Pelodiscus sinensis: one gene and its partners. The protein of the gene in region 1 purifies or fractionates together with the protein of each later gene. This does not show direct contact. Links are inferred from orthologs where the notes say so. Each region holds a gene or a part of one and is shown in the gene's direction. Other genes may lie near its edges.

Region 1 (7,101 bases):
TCGTCCTTCCAGGTACAAATGAGCACGGAGTCTCCCGACTGCAAGCAGTGGACAGGGGCATCCAGCGGAAGAGGCTGTGAGTCTTTGGTGTACCCTGTGAAGAGAAGAGAGAGCAGCAGACAGAGAGCACATATACTGAGATAAAAAGCCGCATCCCAGTTCCCACTCCCCTGCCAGAGCCGGTGTCCCATTCATAGGCCATGCCCTTCCAAACATAATTTCAAAGGGGCTAAGCCCTAATCTACCCTTTGGGAGAGCGCGGATGTGGAGCAAAACAATGGGCAAAGCATCAGGACACCGTAGGGAGGCTTCTTGACAGATTTTCGAGAGGTGACGCTTAAGGGTCTGATTTGTGAGTTCCACCACTCCACTGGCCTGCGGTCGCCATGGCGTGTGGAGCTTCATTAACCCGTTCATTAACCGCCCTTAAGTCCTGGACTAGTCGATATGTGCCATCCGGCTTCCGGACAGGCAAGATGGGGGTGTTCCAGGCTGACTGACATTCCTGAAGTGTACTGCAGCTTAAGAACCGGTCTATAGTCTCCTGCAACCCTTCTCTGGCTTCCCTCTTAATCGGATACTGTTTGATCCGCACCGGGCTTTTGCCTGGGAGGAGCTGAATGCTGACAGGGGTTTGGTGTGTGGCCTTTCCCGGGACCCCTGATGACCATACTAGGGGGTACACCTGATCCTCCCACTGGCTCCACTCAGGGGCTTGCACGGCAGAGGGCTCAGCTGCCAGAGTCATTATCCAGGCATTCTCGGGGGGTAAGGTTAGGGTTATTTCATCCTGAGTGAAATGCAGGGTGGCACCTAAGCGACAAAGCAGGTCCTGTCCCAGCAGCGGTGTTGGGCACTCGGGGAGATAGACCAGCTTGTGAGTTATAGTTCTGTTTCCCAGAGTGCATTCTGCTGGGGCATACACTGGACACTGGGCTCCTTTTCCTGTGGCACCCACCACAGTGAGGGAGTCCGCCATGGGCAGCTGAAGGGGTTGGTTTACGGCGGTTCGTGCCGCCCCAGAGTCCACTAAAAAGTCTATTTCCGAATTTCCCACCCTCATTTTTACTCGGGGTTCCGGGGGCAGGATGATCTATTTCCCCTGACACCCTATTCATGAGTCTCTGCTGCCATCATGGGGGCACATTCTCTTTTGGGGCATTCATTTTTCCAGTGTCCCTCCTTTTGACACAAGGCACACTGGTTGCGACCCAGACGTCTTTCCTGCAGGACAGGGCACTTGGGCCACATTCACATGCCTTTACCCGCCTTTTTGAAATGTCATATGTGCACATTCATATATGCAATGTGGGAGTATTCCATGAGTGGCAGGGTCATAGTCAGAATAGGAAACAATAGTGCTCTGATTCTCCTAAGGAGGGAAACTCCTTAAGGACCGTTACCAGTTGATATAGTTTAGCGGAGGCCCTAGGCTGCTCTAATCCGCACATATGACTGGGCTGAAATAAAAGTATCCCCAAATGTAGGGACTACAAATAACTCATTGTCAATTCACAACTACCTCTATACTTTGCTGTGCTCTGTTTGAGAGGTTGGACTCAAGAGAGAACTTAGTGGTTATTCACATGATACCATGGAACTATGTATAAGAATGAACCTAATTTTCCCGTGTCGTTTCTATTGGCTATGACATTAATCACTTCCTAAAATAAACTGTAATAATAAACAGTAATATAGAAATCTTTTCATTATTTGTAGTCCAGTCCCAGATTTTTTTGTTGTTGCATTTTCAGGGATTTATTTTGACGAACGGCAATGAAAAGGAAAATAAAACTCCATGTTTTTCCATGCACCTGCACAACTGTTTCATGTCTATTGGTTGTCTTTTGTATACAAGGCAACTGTGATTAAATCCGCGGATGACGAGAACTGGAGATCCCTCCACACAGGTGGAAAGTCCCAAACTACAAAAGTAACCTGGAGTGATTAGAGAAAGTGAAAAGGAGGGCTGCAGGTAACAGGGGCAGATTTGGCCCTGATAAATGCACAGCTCTATACCCATGTATACCAAGCAAGCTGCTGCAGTGAAGGTGTGGAACAGGGAATGCACATATATGTGTGCATATTTCTGTCTTAAGAAGTGGAACACAAGGTGAACAAGTGTGAGAAGGACTGATCTAGACACATGTTCTTGAATGCAAGAGGCCTCCAGGATGATCTGGATGCTGAAGTGTTTGATTTACAGCACTGACTGAAGAGAATCAAGGGCACAGTAAAAGGTATTTTCATAGTGTGGTTTAATTTTCATAATACGGTTTTTAATATCCCTTTTAATATTTCTTGGTTACTCCTATGCCCTAAATTGCTGTAAAAATATTAACCAAATACCTGACTACTATGGGAACACCTAATGGTACTCTCATGTGTGGAGAAGGTAATTTGCTCATATAGAAATTGCTGTCATTCTTACTGAGGCATTTGTAACTTTACATTTGCACTGGAAATTGCTGGGTGCTGAAATTACTGTTTCATGTTTGTGTTTTGCAGAACCATACAGCTATAGAAGCTAAAATTAGTTAGTATGCTCCTCACAGGCCACCAGTTACCAGAAAACCTAGTTATAGTCCCCTTTCCATATCATCCTCACATCCTTTTTGGGCTGTCTGTCAGTTGTTTGTACATAATTTGCAAAGCATGTTGAGTTCCTTTGAAATGAAACAAAATGCAGGACAATGTAGCACTTTAAAGACTAACAAGATGATTTATTAGATGATGAGCTTTCGTGGGCCAGACCCACTTCCTCAGATCAAATAGTGGAAGAAAATAGTCACAGCCATATATACCAAAGGATACAATTTAAAAAAAGTGAACACATATGAAAAGGACAAATCACATTTCAGAACAGGAGGGGAATGCGGGGGGGGGGGGGGGGGGGAAGGAAGGAAGGTAAGTGTCTGTGAATTGATGATATTAGAGGTGGGGAGAGTGGGATGTCTGTGAGCTAGTGGTATTAGAGGTGATAATTGGGGAAGCTATGTACATTGGACAAACATCTCAGACACTTCGCCAAAGGATTAATGCCCACAAAACAGATATCAGACAAGATCACAAAGAAAAAACAGTTTCTTGCCATTTTAACCAGAAAGGACTCTCTCTCAATGACTTAACCACCTGCATTCTGCTACAAAGACCTTTTACATCTACACTTGAAAGGGAATCCTCTGAACTGTCATTCATGTTAAAATTCGACACTCTCCGGGAAGGAATGAACAAACACTCAAACTATCTTACCCATTACCAAGATAGCTTCCCCAATTATCACCTCTAATACCATTAGCTCACAGACATCCCACTCTCCCCACCTCTAATATCATCAATTCACAGACACTTACCTTCCTTCCTCCCCCCCCCCCCCCGCATCCCCCTCCTGTTCTGCAATGTGATTTGTCCTTTTCATATGTGTTCACTTTTTTTTAATTGTATCCTTTGGTATATATGGTTGTGACTATTTTCTTCCACTATTTGATCTGAGGAAGTGGGTCTGGCCCAGGAAAGCTCATCATCTAATAAACAATCTTGTTAGTCTTTAAAGTGCTACATTGTCCTGCATTTTGCTTCAGCTACCCCAGACTAACACGGCTACATTTCTATCACTATTTGAAATGAAAGGCTCCCTGTAAATATAGGATGTTTTTATGCTGCAGCTATGGTTAAAAACTAAATGCCTTTTTTGTTTTTCAACACTCCCCCAGTTCTTTAATAAAACAAGGGCAGAAACCATTTCCGTGCATCCTCTCTTATTTTTCTTGAAATCCACATCTTCCCTGGGTTATTTATTTTAACAGCTGCCTTCCCTCAGATGACAAAGTTATAAAGCTTTGGTTACATTAAGACCTTTACCCAGAATGAGATAAGGTCACAGAGTCTCCCTGTTCCCAGACTCTGCTGTTTTCCCTTCTTTCTAAGAAGACAAACAGAGACCTAAAGGAGAGCAGGATATTGCGGGCAGTGTCGTTCAGGGTGTGTGTTTACAGGCAGGACTGACTTAGTCAGCAAATCCTGCTCTGATGAGCTCCAGCCAATGAAGAGCCTATCCCAGCTTGCTTGGGGGCTTCAGAGTTCGAGCAGCATGCATGCAGAAATGTGAGGCGGCTCTCTTCCTGGTGCTTGCTGCTGATAGCAAAATGGGGTCCGGCGACAGCGATTACTTGGGTTTCCCAGCTCTGCAGACCCAGGAGGGGTCCTGTAATGCACCTACCATGCGGTCTGCTTTGAAAGCAGACGGACTTCTCATGGACTGAGGAGACTTGGTTTATTTTAATTTTTAAATTTATTTTTGGAAGATGAAATGCTTTTCTCGTTACCTGCCTTACATCTTCAGACCTCCGAACACCGTCCTCGCCTGCAGCTGCCACACAGAAGGTACAGCTCAGTAGTGGACGACTGGTGGGAGGAGGGGAAATGTGGGGTGTGTGGAAAAAGTGGGAGAGGAGCATGACTGCCCCAAAAGCTCTGATGACATTGCCTTTTGCTGCTAATACACGGCAGTGATTGCTGGCGAAAGCTTACGTGTGCCAGACTTAGAAATTAGTTCAGCCTTGTGGAAAGCAAGGGGACACTGTTATCATTAGCTAGCCATTGTCGAGAGGAAGACTGGTTTGAACGTTTAGCAGATTATTTCTGCAAATATTCATGATTTTTCTACTATGTTTACACTTACTATGCAAACTAGTAATCAGACCTGATTTTAAGAAAAACTGTCACTAGATATTTACCAGAAATTTTTACAGGCTTATACACTTTTCTCATTGACAGTTTAACTCAGCTGTGCATTTCCAGGAAAGCAATTAAGTACATTTTAGCATTTTACTGGTTTGTGTAGTATTCACTCTTTTACTCCTTCACTTGAGCCCTTTTCAGCTCTTAGCAGTAAGGGTGTGCAGCACCTAATATTAAATCTAAGGTTTGAACTTAATACCCTTGATTTTAGTGGGACAGCTACTTCCCCCTTCCATAAGGAGCTTTCTCTCCTGCTAGTTTATAATCATGTATGTATGTCTATCATGTGTGAACTAGCAGGCAATTTTGTGAATCACCTACAATAATTTCTGACAGCCAGGAAAAATAAAAAAATTATACTGATATTAATTCCCTATTTGTAATTGAAATATTTTTTCACACATCTTATACAATGAAAGATTTGTAGGAAAAAATCTAAACATGTTTATCAATGAATGTCTAATTAGACAGAGTATTGCTTTGCAAGTAGTGGAAAGTTGATGTGAGTGAGAAGGTCCAAATCATGCTCTTCCTTGTGCTAGTGTAAGGGCCCAATAATGCAATCATTACCATGACATTGCTCAAGGTAGAAGCATCACACTGAGTATCACGTGTTTACAGAGTGAGGCCTTAACACTAGAAAAAGTCTTCATTTCAGTGGAGCTATTCTTAATATATAGAGTCTCACAAGGATAACAGAGAACACTTTGGCCCCATGGAAGTTTTAAATAAGTGCTTAAATGAAGTATTACGGGGTGTGTTGGCTTACATAGTTTGTTTTAGAAATCAAATTACCTATTTTCATTCTATAATTTCTGATTTTTTTCCATATTGGGAGCCAAAATTATAGGAGATAGAAGTGATTTGACTTCAATAAGAGTATCTAGCGATACTTTGCATAAATAATTTTCAAGTGAAATTATTTAAAGTGGAAGGTTTCAGTGATGATTTATTTGCTTAGGGTTTTTTTTATTAGTTATGTTTACATTGAATGATTTCAGTTTTCCTTTATATTTGCCAATTGAATGGTGAGCTACAACACTTAAACAGTTTGAAAATGTTTTTGCTCACCTGTTGACATGAGATGGATCTAGGAGAAGGGTGGGCAATAAGTTCCGATGATGGGGGCACTCCAAGAATTTAAGTGGTCAAAAGCCATACTTTTTGATGAGTATGTGTGTGATCTGGGATGGAGATTGGGTGAAGAAGAGAACTTGTGGTAGAGGATTGGGATACAGGAGGGAATGTGGGATTTGGGAGGTAGTTTGGATGAAGAAGCAGATTGTGACCTGGAGCAGGGGATAGGGGCGCAGGAGTAGGGAGCAGTGCAGGAGAGGATTCTGACCTGGGGGAGGGATGTAAGAGGGGTGCAGAGTCTGGAAGGGAGTTGTGACCTGGGGCAAGGGTGCAGAGGATTTGCATGCAGGAGGGGTTGTAACCTGGGGAAGGGTGCAGGAGCAGGGCAGAAGGCTGGGGTGCAGGAGAGAGTGTGATGCAGGTGCAGGCTCTGGCTGGGAGGTTCTTACCCTAGGTGGCTCCCAACCAGCAACCCAGCATGCATGCCAGTCTGAAGCAGCCGATTATTGGGATCACGTGCATTTCTGCACCACGCACCCTTTGAGAAGGGGCCTCTGCATGCTATGTGTGCTGCGAGCACAGCCCAAACATGTGGTCATAAGTCTACCTGCTACCATTCAATGTAAAAATAATAGCAATTTGTAATGAATGTGAATTTTGTTTAATAAGGACCTTGATCCTGTGCAAGTGGCCCCATTGAAGCCAGAGTGGTTACTTGCACAAGCATTATTACATGTGTAAAATATTTGTAGGGTTGAGTAATGTATGTACAGTTTTTGCCTATCCTGACGTATATGGGATCACTAACTTTTGTACATTTTGAAAATTGATGACATGAAGGATATTAAAAAAAAATCAGTAGAAGCAAGGGCAAGCTTCTAAAACCAAGCTAAATTTAAGTGTGATGTATTTTCTTGCACACAATTCAAGTTTTCCAAACATGAAATTGAGTATATGTCTTCACTGAAGAATTAACTTGGATGATTGGCGCCTGGATTAACATATCCCTCTGAGGAACCACAGTGCAAAGCCATACTTGTGTGACTGTGTCCTTTACTGCTGATGCACTTGCACATATTTGTCACTAGGACATGGGGTCATGCCCTGAAGTTTTTTGTGCTGCAATAAACTTAGCCATTCTATGATTCTTTCTGGGGAATTTTGGGATAACTTGTTCTTCGGAGTTCCTGAGGTGGTGGTGTGGAAATTTATGAAGGCACTGGAGGACTGTCAAGCACTTCAGTGATTTAACCTGCACCCTTAGGATACGTCTACACAGCAGTG
Region 2 (7,053 bases), on another chromosome or scaffold:
ACACCCTGGTATGAGAGATGTGTATGAGGCTATGTGTAGACTGCAGGGTTAAACTCTGCTGCATCCAGGGAACACGTCCGCTTTTTCAGAAGTTTCCAAAAAAGCGGGCATTTTTATCATCTCTGTATTCCTCTCTGTAGCTATGTCTAGGCTGCAGGCTTCTTTCGGAAGAAGCTTTTCTAGAAGAGATCTTCTGGAAAAACTTCTTTCCAAAGAGAGCATCTACACAGCAAAAGCACAACAAAAAAGCAATGTGTTTTTTCAAAAGATAGCGTCCACATTGATTGGACGCTATCTCGCATTTCGGCTGTGATTACTGTGGATGGAGTGGCCACCAGGACACCTGTGCTTTTTCCTGGAGACTTCTTCTTTTGGAAAAAAAAACCTCTTCCCTTTCCACACATGCCGTTTTCCAAAAGAGCTCTTTTGGAAAAAGGCTTCTTCCTCATAGAAAGAGGTTTATTACTGTTGGAAAAACCCCTGTGGCCTTTCAACTGTCTATAGAAAGAATGCAATTGCAGTGTCGATATAAATGTAGTTTTTCCGGGACAACGGCTCTTTTTGTAGACATACCCAAGTGAGAGGAAACAGGGATGTTCTGAAAGAGGAGGGTTTTCTGAAATTTGGCCCCGTGTAGATGAGCCAAGTTTCAGAAAACCTTCTTCTGAAAAAAAAAAAGCTGTAAAACTCTGCCATCTAGACATAGCCTGAGTCACCCTCCATGTGTGAACACTAAATCCTTATAGATAAGGTAAATAAAAATAATCCAACTACACAGCATTGCTTTCTGACAGGGGCTCAGTTGACTTGATATTGGCTGCTGTTGAGTTAGCTTGAATATGGGTAATTTTGCCAGGTGTACAGTATTCAGTATAGGGAAATATGGTCACCCTATTTCCATAGTAATGTAAAGCCTTAGTGGGCATTATATACACAGCAGGGGAATTGGGGGGATTAAGCCCTAATACAGGGGATTAGGCCCTAACACTAGAGTACGCATACCACAAAAACCTGACAAATGTAATCAGTCAGTCAGGTGCTCAGTAAGGATTACCAATATTACATTTCTTGTTTACTCATTTAATAGACAACCACATTCAGCCTTTTACCCTTCCAGAGCAATGTAAACAGGTCTTGGTGTAAATGAAAATTAGGCCTTTATTGTAATGTATGTTTTGCTGTCTGTTGCTTTATTTCTTTTATATAGGCTTTTTGTTCCTTTGTTTTGCTTGAATAGTGGTGTAAACAAATCCAGTTGATGTTGTAGTACCCTGTGTATTGTATTCTGGCACCTGCAATTATTCTCTTCAGGAGACTGTGACAGTAGAGTATGCAGTGACAAAACAGCCTTTTTAAACCAAAGCATTTTATTTCCATAGTAGAAACAAAGCATTACAATGAAAGGGATTTGATATGCCTCTTACCTAAAGGTAAGACAAGAAATACCTGCTCAGAAATACCTATGTTTAGAAGAGCAACCTATAACAGCAAAAGCTTGGTAACCCAAGCAGTCCTAACTTCTTCAGCAATTCCAGCAACTCCTTTCCTGCCCTGGCATTCTCTTAAAGTGTTTGCCCAGAAATGGCTTATCTTTCTTCCCTGCAGGTTTGTTTTACCTTACATCACCCTATGACACTAAACCAATGTATTCATACAGTATACAGTTCAATTGCCAGGTCAATATACAGTATTTCTTAATTAGAGCAGAACAGCTCAATTTCTGTCATGAGACACTTAATTCAAAACAGAGGAAGTGGGAGGTATCAAGGAGCTTTATTCTATGCTTAAAAAATAAAGCAGAATGGTGGTGGCAACATATACAGAGCAAAGGAAACCCTGTGAGATCGAAGTTATGGGAAGATCTATCACTAGTAGCAGTTTTCATGATAATTAACATGACTTAGGGAGAGAGTAAACAATGGCTAGCTACAGAACACAACGTTTTACAAAAAGAGAACAGGTGCATTGTGAACATGTACCGTTCCAATCATCCACTGATAATTATGGCAACAAGAAAGCAGCAATACAGCTGCCTGTTAGAAAAGATTGAGATATATAATGATGTGTTACAAAGGCCACTGCATTGAAGTGCTGCTGCTAAACAGAGGTCAAAGCAGAGTCACTTCATGTTGGTCCTGCTGACACTTCTCTATCCTGTGCAATTAGTAATCAGTGAATACTCATCTTCTGTGCTAGAATAGAAGAGCTGGCTTAAAGCTAAAAACACGGGTATCACTTGCAAAAGGAGCTGAACTGATGTCTCCGGAGACCAATCTTCTCTTTTTGGGTAGGACATGCACCGACAGGCAGCAGCAAGTGCAAGCTTCGTCACACTGCTCAGAAATACCTTTTAGGATGTCTTTAGAAGAGCAGCCTATAACAGCAAAAGCTGGTCATTTTTCTACAGCTGAAGCTATCAGAAAAAAAATCTAAATTTCTCAAGAAAAAACATTATCTGCCTCACCATAAGGGTCTGATCTAATGCTCATTGAAATAATTTTAAACGTGTGCATTCTCTGCAATAGGTATTGGACCTGGTTCTAACAGCAGGAGAAAAGAAATTCACCCCCAGACATTCCATAATTTCCTCAGACTTTTCAATCAGACCTCTTCCAAAGTGTTGTCTCCTTGTGGAAGTTCCAGTCTCTTGTTTTAGGTTTGAGAAAAAGCAACAACACAACTGAGGCAGAATCAAAGCACAAACGGCTTTGCTCCTGACAACCTCCAGTGGAATGGTCAGTTTTAGATTGCCACTAAGCAATTCCAGAATTTAGCCACCCAAACATATCTAAGAGATTTTTGTGGGGATTTACTGCAGTGTTGCTTGCAAGTGGTTGCAGACACTAGTTTTGTCACATACAGTGCTATTCTTTATTACAGCCTTTCATAATCACATTCTTTGCAAAACAATATACATTACAAAATACAATGTCTGTGTAGGCACAGGCAACCATTAATATGCTCAGCAATAGCTCATACATACCATTGGCCATAAAAACCTCTCCTACTGAAAAAGTAAACTTTCCTCAGGCTACCACTTATCACAATTCTTTAATAAATAAAATTGCCAAGAGGTCTTTAAAGATATACATCACCCCAGTTTCTTGAATGTCTCATCCAGAGAATGGTACCAATATTGCAATACCTTCTCTACTGCACTGCAGCAGCAGATACAGATATAAATCTAAATTCCAGTGTGGCACTTGAACTCAGAGGCAGGCGCTATCCACTGGTTAGCATGCGCTGACTCTCTGGGAGGGATGAGTGGTTATCTGGCTTTCTTACATTCAGCAATCCTTGCGACTCCCACCTTTCATAGTAAGATACTGCATTTTGAATATTGAGTGAGACATTCAACAGTGCCAAAGAATGTTAAGCACCCAACTTCCAGTGACTAGAGAGCTGGACCATGAAGTCACACAGGCACGTTTTGAAAGAGCCTTCTATGCCAAGCTTTACACAGGAATGAATTAAGCCTCCCAGCACCTTTGTGAGATATGTATTTATTTACTATCCTCTTTTGACAGATGAGAACAGTGAGTCAGCAGAAGAGCCAGAAATCTCCTGTCTCTCTCTATGCTTAAACCACTAGATTGGGCAGGTCCCTTTTTGTGCCTTAATTCCTCCTTCCTTTCATTTAATATGTAGATACCTTTCCAATGTATCTCTTTACTGTTTTATACCCCGGTAAGCACCAAAGGGACTGTTCCATCCATTTTTTATTTCAGCACATAGCCAGCTACTGATCTTCTGGATAACTAGCTTTTACTGGTGTCTTCAGCAAGAGAAACTGCAGGTAGCAGATTGTTATTGAGGCAAACCTGTTGGGAGAGATTATTTGCAAAGCAGTGAAGTGCTAAAAAACATATTTAACCTAATAGCTGAAGTATGAAATGTCCTTCTATCTGGATTTATAGGTAGTAACTAGTCCAGGAGGCGTTATAAACACGCATACAGGGAGCTCTAGGAAAAAGTGGCTCGCACAGAGCAGTTTGGCTCGGTGACAGCGGGGGGAGGATCATGCGCACAGACCGGGGAAGCGTCAGGAGCGGAGAGAGAGAGAGACAGCAGGCTTTGCAGTTTCTCTATTTCAGCAGGAGGAGGAAGGACCCTGGGAAGATTGTAGGGCGCCGCAGGCGAGAGAGAAGGAGGGATGGGAGAGAGATGGGGTAGCCGCTGGGGGCGGAGGAATGAGGGTGTGTGAGCTCAGGGGAAAGAAGAGGAGGACGTTGGAAAACAAACAGTCATTCGCCTCGGACCAAAGGAAAAGCGAGTGGATGGCTCGGGCTGCAAAACAACTTGGTGCTGCATCAGGCTGAGCCGGGGAGCGCGGCAGGGAAGGAGAAAGCTGCCAGCCTGCCACTAACGGATTTGCCTGCATGTGATTGAACCGAGCCAGCGCCGGAAAGAGACGGAGGAGGGTGGGGGCTGCGCGGAGGGGCGAGGGTGGGGGTCAAAGAGGAAAAGTGTGAGGCTCGTGGCTGGGGAGCGGCAGAAGTGATGAGAAGACAAGCGGCGCGGCTGGGGGAGGCTGCTCGTGCTGCCGCGCTGTGCCCGGAGGCTGGCTGCCGCTGCCATTCCTGTGGGTGGCCAGGATTAAAGAGCCTCAAGTGCCCCACACCCCCTCGGCTGCGGCTGCTTCCTCCTCTGCCTGGACCATGGAGACTTTAAATGGCACCAGCCCCAGTGAGCCCCTCAAGCAGCCGCAGCAGCAGAGCCAGCACCACCCCTACAGCGAGAAGAAGCGACTGAACCGAGCCCCTTCCCCAGCCAGGCCCTTCCTCAAGGATCTCCACGGCCGGGCATCCTCCGCCAAGCCCCCGCCGGTGCCTCCCAAATCCCCCAGCCTCTCGGGGAAGCCGCCGCAGCCGGGCCCCTCGCCCCAATCCGCCGGGCTCCTGGCCACCCAGAGCCGCCTCTCCAGGCGCAGCGGCTCGCAGGGCGCCAAGGCAGCGGCAGCCGCTGGGGCGGGCGGGCGAACGGGCAGCGCCAAAGCCGCCCTGTGGAGCAAGAAGGCGTCCCGGGCCCAGGAGCAGGGGGGCGGCAAGGCCGGGGCCAGGCAGGAGCCGGGCCACCCGCCCGGCAAAGGCAGGAAGGGGAAGAGAAGCGCCCCCTTGCCGCAGGGTGGCTCCCTGGCCCCGGCCGCCGCGCCCGGACTGGGCAGCGGCCATGCGGCTCCGGCCAGGCTCAGCCACACGGACAGCAGCTCCGACCTGTCCGACTGCCCCTCCGAACCGCTCTCCGACGAGCAGCGCCCGGCCCAGGCCGCCAGCAGCGACGCCGAGTCCGGCACCGGCTCCAGCGACCGGGAGCAGCCGCCGCCGTCTGCCCCGGGCCGAGCGGGCACGCCGCTGCCCGGCGCCAGCCAGCCTCCCCCGGAGAGCAGCGCCGCCGCGGCGCGGCCCGCCCCGCCCTGCAGCCCGCAGCCCGCCTCGCCCGCCCCCGGGGCCAGCCCAGGCAGCGCGGCGGGAGACGCGGCGAGCTGGGGGCGAGCCGCGGAGAGCGCGCCCGGCCCGGGGGCCATGCGGCTGGGCAGCCGCGCGCCCGCCCCCTGCCAGCGGGCCGAGGAGGAGGAGCTGCTGCGGGAGATCGAGGAGCTGCGCTCGGAAAATGACTATCTCAAGGTAGAGCCCGCCGGGGGGGAGGAGGGGCAGGGGTGGGATGGGTTGGCGGGAAGGCGCCTCCCCCTCCCCAGTGACTAGCGGTGGAGCAGGTGCACGTGGCTGGGTGGGGCTGGAGCTGGAGGGGGTAGGTGGCAATTGTTGGATGGGCATTTTCCTTCTGCAGGTCGGGGGGGGGGGGTGTGAGGGGTCTGGAAGAATGTTTACAGTGGGAGTGCTGTCCTCCACTGAGCTTAACTGTATATAATGGAAACCAGCAACACCCGCACCCAAGGCCCCGCAGCTGTGGTGGGGTGGATGGGCCAAGGGGAGTGTTCATTGAGCCTATGGAGATCAGTAGCTAAGCGCTTGGCAGTCAACTAGTTGGCAGTGCCGCAAAAACTGGCACTTAAGGATATACAGGGGCCCTGACTGCTCTGATCCTTTGTCTCCAGTACAGTTCTAAGCACTGCGGTAGGCTGGATAAAACTTTTGGAAGATGGGGGTGTGTGGATGGCTTTGTTTTGAGTCTTATAAAATCTAGTCTTCCATAAAAGGCCTGCTGGACAGGGAAATCTGCTGAAAGGAATCCAGTACATTTCTCCCAAGTCAGCCTGCTGCAACAGAAACCATAAGGAGTAGATTCTTTAATTCAGATGCAGTAATTGTGTTAGTCAAAATTCAGAAGCTATTTTTCTGAAATCTAACAGTATTTTTAAAGTCAGCATCTCTTGGAAGAAAATCACCCACCAAATCAAAATTCCGGTTTTACTTGTTATATTCACCAAAGCCTTTAAAATAACATGGAAACACAGAAGGGCTATGTCTACACTGCCAGCTTCTTGCAAGGAACTGTTTTGCGCAAGAGCTTGTCCACACTGCCATGTACTTTTGCGCAAGAAATGTTCTTTTGTGCAAGAGTGTCCATGGCAGTGTGGACGCTCTCTTGTGCAAGAAAGCTCTGATGATCATCTTAGCCAGAGGGGTTTCTTGCGCAAGAAACCCCAGTTGCCCGTCCACATTGCCTTTTGCGCAAGAGCTCTTGCACAAGAGGGCTTATTCCTCGTGGGGAGAGGAAGAACTCTTGCGCAAGAAGCCCTTTGTTCCGACACTTTAATGTAAATTTACTTGCGCAAGAACGCGCGTGCAATGTAGACGCTCTCCAAGTTTTTGTGCAAGAACAGCTGTTCTTGCGCAAGAAGCCTGCAGTGTAGACATAGCCAAGAAGTGCATGAGTATTTGACCTTTCGTCAGTAGTGTGAAGATCTCCCTTCAAGCTGTGCCATGTCAAAGCTAAAAAAGGCAGCCAAGGAACAAATAATGCATGTGATCCTGTTTCTCTATAAAAGCCTGATTTGTGCAGTCTCTGGATGCATATAAATCCAAGGCAGCTTGCACTGTAAGGCTGTTAGGTTTAGCTGGTGTGTGATATTTCAACAAGCCCCAAACTTCC
Region 3 (6,972 bases), on another chromosome or scaffold:
TCCCCAGAAGGATATCAATGGTCTCCTCCAGATCCTCCAGGTCCCACTGGATGCTGCGCAGGTTGTTGCGCAGCTCGTTGGTGGTCCAGTCGAACTCCTCGGAGCTGACGACATGGGTCTCCTGCAGCAGCTCGCACCAGCGCTGGTAGAGCCCCTGGGCCGTGTTCACAGCCTTCTGCACTTCCCTGGGGGCAAAGAGAGGGGGGCTGAGGAGGGGGCGAGCGAGGAGCAGGGCAGGGATCCCCAGGAAGGTGGCCTGGTGCTGCCAGGTCTTGCCCCGCTACTCTTCAGTCCCCACCCCAGAGGTGGCTGCATCTCGCACTAGGCAGGACCCCCCAGCAGCCCTGGCACCCTCCCAGCGAGGACTGGGAAGGGGGTCTCTCCTGCACAGGGTGGGTGGGGAGGATCCTGGTGGGGCACGGGGATAGGAGAAGGGTCTCTGCGGGGGAGGGGGGAGGGGAGTTCTCCAGGCGCGAGGAAGTGGGGCGGCCGGTGGGAGGGGGTTGTCCAGCGGCGCGGGAGACGGGAGGAGGTTTCTTCCGGGGGGCGGAGAGACGGGACGGGGCAGGGTCTGTTTAGGGGCGGGACGGGGGGGGGGAGAGAGGGCGGGACGGGGAGGTTTCTCCAGGACGGGGGGGGGGGCACGAGGGCGGGGGGGTTTCCCGGGGGGGATTTCCCCGGGGGGGGAGGCTTCCCCGCCCATATTCTAGGGGCACGATCCTGCGCGGGCCGCGGCCAACTCACCCCCGCACGGCAGCGAACGGGTCCTCCAGGGCCATGCTGCCCCGGCCCCGCTCCTGCTCCGGCTCCGCTCCCCGCCGCGCCCCGCCATGTGACCGGCGCTGGCCCTGCCCTCCCGAAGCTGCGGCCGCCGCCTTTGCTGAGGGCGGGGCGGGCCTGCCCGGACTTGGGGGGGAGGTGGCGGCTCCCCCCTTCTCAGCCTCCGCGGGGCGGGGGCTGCGCTGATCCCTAATTCCCGGCCCCGACCCGCTCCGCGCAGAGAAATTGAAGCCAGGAGTCCGGGCCCCCCACTTACCCCAGCCGGGGGGCTGGCACTGGAACCCAGGAGTCCTGACTTCCCCCTCCCCCACTCTAGCCACTAGGCTCCACTCCCTGCCCCCACAACAAGGGCTAGAACCTAGGAGTCCGTCCGGCCCCGCCCCCAACCATTACGCTCCCCCCCCCCCCCCAAGAGCTGAGCACTGAACCCAGGAGGTCTGACTCCTCTCCCCCATGTTCATTTCATTCCAGCCCAGCCAGTGGGACTAGTCCCTGCTGGTGCCCCCCCCCCCCCGGATTTCCCGGGACTCTTGGCTGCAGACGCCATGGGAGCCCGGCCCCCAGGCGGCTCCAGGATCCCGGCCTTTGAGGGGTGACAGGCAGCGCTTGAGACTAGCAGGCTGGGAGCAATAGCGGGGAGGGGGCTGCGTGCCCTGAGGTTGTGGGATGCGCGATTTGTTGAGGGGAGCCACAAGGGTTGCTGTGAGGAGGGGGGTTGCCTGTCAGAGTGTGGGGGGACTTGTGGCATGTGTGTGAGCTGTGTACAGCTAGATTGTGTACAGGCAGAGTGGTGAGGCAATGGGGGGGCATGGGGTGATATGCTGGTAATCAGATTGGGGGGAGGGTATGGACAGGCATCCTGTGAGGTGTATAGGTAGCTTGTGGGAAGAGTCGCACGTGGTATGTGTGCAGTCAGGTATTTGGTCAAGTTGTGGGGAGAGTTCTCGGAGATGTGTTAGGGGAGGTTAGGGGTGGAAGTGTAGAGCCAGATGGTGAGTAAGTTAGGTAGTGTTGGGGAGTTGTGAGTGGGTGGGAGAAATGGGCTGTATGGGGATGTGTGTAGTCAGGTTGTGTCTTCTTGGGTCGGGGGGATGTTGTGGGTGGATGTGTTGTATGTGGGGAAGGGATTGGTTGTGTCAAGTCAGACTGAAGGGGTTGTCATGTACTTAGGGTGATAGGTGGTGGAGAGTTTGTGTGGGTGTTAGGATGACAGGTGGTAAATGGGGGAGGGCTGGGGGTGACAGGGAGGTAGGGGTGACTGAGGGAGACTGGGGGTGACTGATAGGTGGGGGCTGGCTGGCTGGCTGGGATGCGATTGGAGACGGGGGGGTGAGAGGCAGGTAGGGGAGTTTTTAGGGAGAGATTGAGGGTACAATCAGGCAGTGGCTGGGGGGAGATCAAGGACTGGGGGTGTGAGAGGCAGGAGGGGGAGTTGTTAGAGATTGAGGGGACAGGCAGGTGGGGTCTGGCTGGGGGGACACAGGGAGCTGTGGGGGTGAGGGGCAGGAGGGGGAGTTGGGGAGAGTTAGAGGGGGCAGACAGGCGGAGACTGGCTGGGCGGAGATTGGGGGTTGTGGGGGTGAGGGGCAGGAGGGGCAGTTAGAGATTGAGGGGACAGGCAGGCGGGGTCTGGCTGGGGGGAGATTGGGGTAACAGGCAAGCGGCGGGTTGCTGGGGCGCCTGGCTGGGGGATGGGCGCATCCCACGTGCGGTGCGCGGAGGCAGGCTGCGGGGGAGGGATTTGCAGCGCGGGCAGATGGGTTTTTCCTGGTAGGATCCCGGAAGGAGGCTCCCCATAGCCCGCAATGGGGCCTTCCAGCCCTTGCCCTTATACGGAAAGAGGAAGCGAGCGGCGCTACAATCGCAACCCGGGTTGGAACGTTGGTGCGCGCCGCATTCGCGGCCCGCCCCCTGTCGTCATGGGCCCCAAATATAGTCATGGAAACGGTAACCAGGGAAGGCTGGGGTGACCTCAACAGTGGGGCGGAGCCTCCGCCTCTTCTTCCTTCCTCTTAAAGAGCCCGCGGGGGGAAAGGGCCTGTTGGCTGAGCGAGTATCCTCTGGGTGGCGGGGCCCGGGGGCTTAACTTTAACTAGCTGAAGCCCCCCCCCCCGCCCCCGCACTGACCCCCGGCCAGGGGAGGTGTCTTGCAAGGCCCGTTGCGGTGCATCCATGCAAAGCATGCGGGCTGGGAAGGTGTCACTGTTGGCCTCGGGGAGAACATGGCCCTCAGCGGAGGAGCTGGGCTCCATTGCATTGCCACGGGGGGTGCCCAGGGGGTGACTTGTAACAACCCAGAAAATGCCCCCCCCCCCAGCTGCAGGAAGCTTAACGCGCCCTGGCCTGGACGGGGCCACCTCCGGGGTGGGATCCAGCTGCGGACAGACCGCTTCGCCCCCCCGGGTTTCACACACGCAGCCGATGTTGGCGGGGCTGTGCCGGCCTCCACGCAGTCTGCCAGTCGGAGCGGGGTGTAACGAGCCGAGCCGTACGGCAGCTCGCATCGGGCGCACGCCACAGGAGTACGGTTTCATTCACAAAGAGTTCTGGCTCCGATTTGGGATCCGCTGTAGTAAGGTTTGTTTATTTGCATGAAACCAGATGCTAGAGAGCCTTGTGCAGACACACGTTTTGCAGCCACCACGCCAATGGGGCGGTTGCTCCAGTCCGTGGATTTAAACACAGATTGCGCTGTTTATCTACACACACACAACGGGGTTTGCCTTTGCCTTGGAGCTGCATTCCAGCCACCGCGCAGGGCGGTTTTATTGCGGCTGTGTGGCTGCGTTGGACGCAGGGAGAGATTTATTTGGCAGGCTGCAGTAAACAGAGAGCCGGTCTCGCTCCTTGTAACAGACACAACAACGTTGCTCGCCTTGCTTGCGTTGCGCCGAAGAGCTTGGCCTCGTGCGCATTTCAGGGCATTGCCCGCAGACCCGGCCGCGCGGCCCTGCCCACGCGGGTGGCCCCGGGGCTGCCGGGGTGGGTCGCATTGCGCGTGCACGAGGCGCTGCACTGGAGGCGGGGGCGCGCCCCCACCCGCAGGGGGCACGAGCCGCTGCATCGATTGCCCTGCCCGGCCATTTGGCGTCGGGGGGGGGGCTCCCTCCGGCCGCGGCGCTGCGCGTGCAAACCAGCCCCGGGCTCCACGCTGGACGCGCACAATGAAGCGCAAAGTTTGGGGATGTCCCTCCCCCCTCCCCCCGCGCTCCGGCTGCCTGGTTGCTTTGGCCAGCGGCTGCCCGGCAGGGTCCCTTCGGCTTCCTCCCCCTCCCCCACGCCCTGGCATTTCCGCCCCTCCCCCCACGGCGGCTGGGGGTGGCGGCGCGTTGCACCGGCCGGATGCGGCTGAGGGAGTGGGCGGGGGCGGCCCGGGCGCTGAGATCAGCAGGGGTATAAAAGCCGCGGAGCGGGGCGCGGCTGGGCTTAGTCCGGGCGGCTGGTCGGAGGCGGAGGAGCGGAGAGTCGCGAGCGAAGGCGGCGGCGCCGCAGCAGCAGCAGCAGCAGCAGCAGCTTCGCCCGGTGGGCGCGGGGGTGGGCAGACCCGGGCGCAGCCCCTCCCCCCAGCTCCGGCAGGGCCCGATCCTGCGCGCGGCATGGAGGCGCAGAAGGAGGCGCAGCGCATCATGACCATGTCGGTGTGGAAGCTCTACCACTCCCGCCTGCAGCGCGGCGGCCTCCGCCTGCACCGCAGCCTGCAGCTGTCGCTCGTCATGCGCAGCGCCCGGGAGCTCTACCTCTCGGCCAAGCTGGAGGAGGCGGAGGCAGGAGGCGAGGCGCCCTGCACGCCGGAGCAGTCGGCCGACCCCGGCCAACCCCCGCCGGAGGAGCGGGCGGCCCCCGCGGACTGTGCCGCCGCCCCCGGCGCGACGGAGCCCATGGAGACGCAGGAGAGCGGCGGGGAGCCGGCCCTGGCGCCCGCCTCCCCGGGGAAGCGGCCGGCGCGGGGCGTCTCGTTGCCCGGCGCGGGCAAAGGCAGCAGGAAGCGGCGGAGCAGCAGCCTGGACAAGCCGGGGGCGGCCGAGGCCGGGCTGGCGCCCAGCAAGAAGGCGCGGCTGGAGGAGGAGGCGGAGGGCGAGCGGCAGCCCCAGGGCCAGGACGGCCCCTTCCCCAGCCTGGCCAAGGTCCTGCAGCACCAGTTCGCCGGCAGACTGCGGAGCGGCCCGGCCAAGGGCCCCGATCCCCCCACGCCGGGCTGCCGGCCGGGGGACGGCGCGGTACTGAACATCCTGGTGCGAGCCGTGGTGGCCTTTTGAAACCGCTGCCCCGCCGCTTGGGGGGACTCGTGGCTGCGGGAAGCTGCCCCGCGGCGCGCCCGGCTCCTGGCGGGAGCTGGGGGGCGCAGCCCCTCTCCCTGGAGGAGGAGGGGGCGAGGAGCCGGCCGGGAGAGACACGCGAGGAGGAGGCTGGAGGACGGCGGAAGAAAGATCGGACTCTCCCCTCCCCTCCCCCGCCCGCTGCCCTCCCCACCCGGCTGGGACCGGGGGGAGGCGAGACAAAGGGCCGGGCCGCAGCGGGGCGAGAGACGCCGCCGCCTCCGCTTTGTGTGCGGGGGGACTGGGGGCCTGCCGGGAGGGCGAGCCTTGGGCTGACTGGTGCTATTTGCCGCCCCGCGCTCTGGGGGGGCCGGGCTGGGCTTCGGTAACTTGAGACGTGGGCCTGCTTCTTGCTCTGGGTCCTGGGGGCAGCCGGAGGGGAGGGGCGAGCTGGCGGGTTTCAACCCGAGCCGGAGCCGAGAAATACTCCAGGCCAGAGCTCCTGGATCCAGGCGGGTTTCGCCAGCCCGGGGGGGGGTCGTGGGAGGCCCGTTTCCTTCCTCAGGGGTTCACGCTTTTCTCGAAAGTGCTTCACCCCCCCCCCCCCGCCTTTATTCTTTATCCGAGGAAAAGCTCTGAGACGACCCCCCCCCCCCCCCCCCCCACTTCCAACCAGTCTGACAAGTTCTGACACAGCTCATATGACCAGCCATTGCATCACGCTGGGTGTAGCAGGGCAGCGGGGAATTTCCTGTTCGGCCACCTTTAGATGTTGTGTGTGTACGTGGAGCTGGTTTTTCAAGGGGGGGGGGGAGTGGGTGTCAGCCTGACTCATTCAGCCCCATAAAGAGGAACTGAGTCAGGGCTGGCTGGCTCTTAAAAACTCCAAGACAAATGAAAATGAGAGAAGTCACAGAGGCTGGAAGGTTTTTATTTCTCTTTCAGTCTGGGCGAAAGGCAAAGGGAGTTGGCCTGTTCTCTGGAGTGGTGGTTGAACGGCCCCGCATAAAATGTGAGTCTTAAACTTGGTCTGAATTGCTGAGGACAGAAAAAAGAGGGTGTCTAAGACTGACCGCATGCCCCCCAAGAATTTCAAAGGAGAAACTATTCCATGTTCCAATCCCATTGTAAACCACTGAGAACTGGCGGTCGATTGTCGATGCTTTTACATGTACGTGTTAACAAATAATTCTTGGGTTCCCCAGTTTCCTAGCTGTCTGCCCAGGAAACTGGCAAAGGGGTGAAAACAATCCTGCCCTCACCAAGTGTGTTACCCACATGTCTTGAATGTTTGTAAGTTATTTCTCTAGTTCTTTTTTTATTGGGGGGGAACTGCAGGCTGGGCTGGGCTGGGCTGGGGTTTCCTCCGCTGTCGTTATTTTTTTGTTAATGAAATAAAGACCATTTGTGAAACTGGCCCAGTTGTGGCTCTCCGGGTTTGTCAGGAACGTGGGAAATGGGTGGTTTTGAAAAGGCCTGGCTTAAGTTGAGGGGGCTTATCCAGGCTGGCCAACCTCAATGCCCACATGGGCTCCTAACCCCTCCCTAGGCTCAATCCTTTGATTACTGTAGGGCCCAGGTGCTGCTGTGGGAGGAGACGGATTCATGGGGGGGGGGGGGGCTGCTGCCTGGACCTCTTCCCCTCCCCCCTCAGTCTTGGCCTTTATATCCCTTTGTGACCTTTGCCCCTGCTGGGCTGTGGGGTGACCCTGGGGCAGGCTGACAAAACACCAGCTTGTGCAACTGCCCTTGGATGGGGATGGGGGTGGGAGTGTAAACAGGAGCCATTTAAATGGCTGGGTAACTGGCTCGAAATTCCCTTAGAAACACAGGAATCTAGCCAGTGCGGGAGGGGGGAAGTTAATGGCCGTGTGTGCCCTGAAACAGCTGGCGAGACTTCCCGGAGGGAGCTGCGCGTGGCAGCAGGGGCCTGTAC

The links. Proteins that work in one complex are often made in the same cells at the same time.
Region 2: the proteins of PPP2R2B (region 1) and MTCL1 purify together in Homo sapiens (affinity purification with mass spectrometry; 4 studies listed by BioGRID and IntAct, with this or other methods). This does not show direct contact. The link is inferred for Pelodiscus sinensis from reciprocal best matches to the Homo sapiens genes PPP2R2B and MTCL1.
Region 3: the proteins of PPP2R2B (region 1) and IER2 purify together in Homo sapiens (affinity purification with mass spectrometry; 3 studies listed by BioGRID and IntAct, with this or other methods). This does not show direct contact. The link is inferred for Pelodiscus sinensis from reciprocal best matches to the Homo sapiens genes PPP2R2B and IER2.

What each region holds. Positions count from the first base shown.
Region 1 is NC_134727.1:20,810,598-20,817,698, forward strand, and holds the start of PPP2R2B (serine/threonine-protein phosphatase 2A 55 kDa regulatory subunit B beta isoform), read left to right. Parts: upstream 1-3,998; 5' UTR 3,999-4,304; coding exon 4,305-4,383; intron 4,384-7,101. UniProt on the Homo sapiens protein: The B regulatory subunit might modulate substrate selectivity and catalytic activity, and might also direct the localization of the catalytic enzyme to a particular subcellular compartment.
Region 2 is NC_134712.1:84,712,838-84,719,890, forward strand, and holds the start of MTCL1 (microtubule cross-linking factor 1), read left to right. Parts: upstream 1-4,034; 5' UTR 4,035-4,658; coding exon 4,659-5,624; intron 5,625-7,053. UniProt on the Homo sapiens protein: Microtubule-associated factor involved in the late phase of epithelial polarization and microtubule dynamics regulation.
Region 3 is NC_134729.1:13,737,711-13,744,682, forward strand, and holds IER2 (immediate early response gene 2 protein), read left to right. Parts: upstream 1-4,184; 5' UTR 4,185-4,376; coding exon 4,377-5,036; 3' UTR 5,037-6,453; downstream 6,454-6,972. Other genes in the region: STX10 (syntaxin-10), read right to left, coding at 16-185, 745-779. UniProt on the Homo sapiens protein: DNA-binding protein that seems to act as a transcription factor. Involved in the regulation of neuronal differentiation, acts upon JNK-signaling pathway activation and plays a role in neurite outgrowth in hippocampal cells.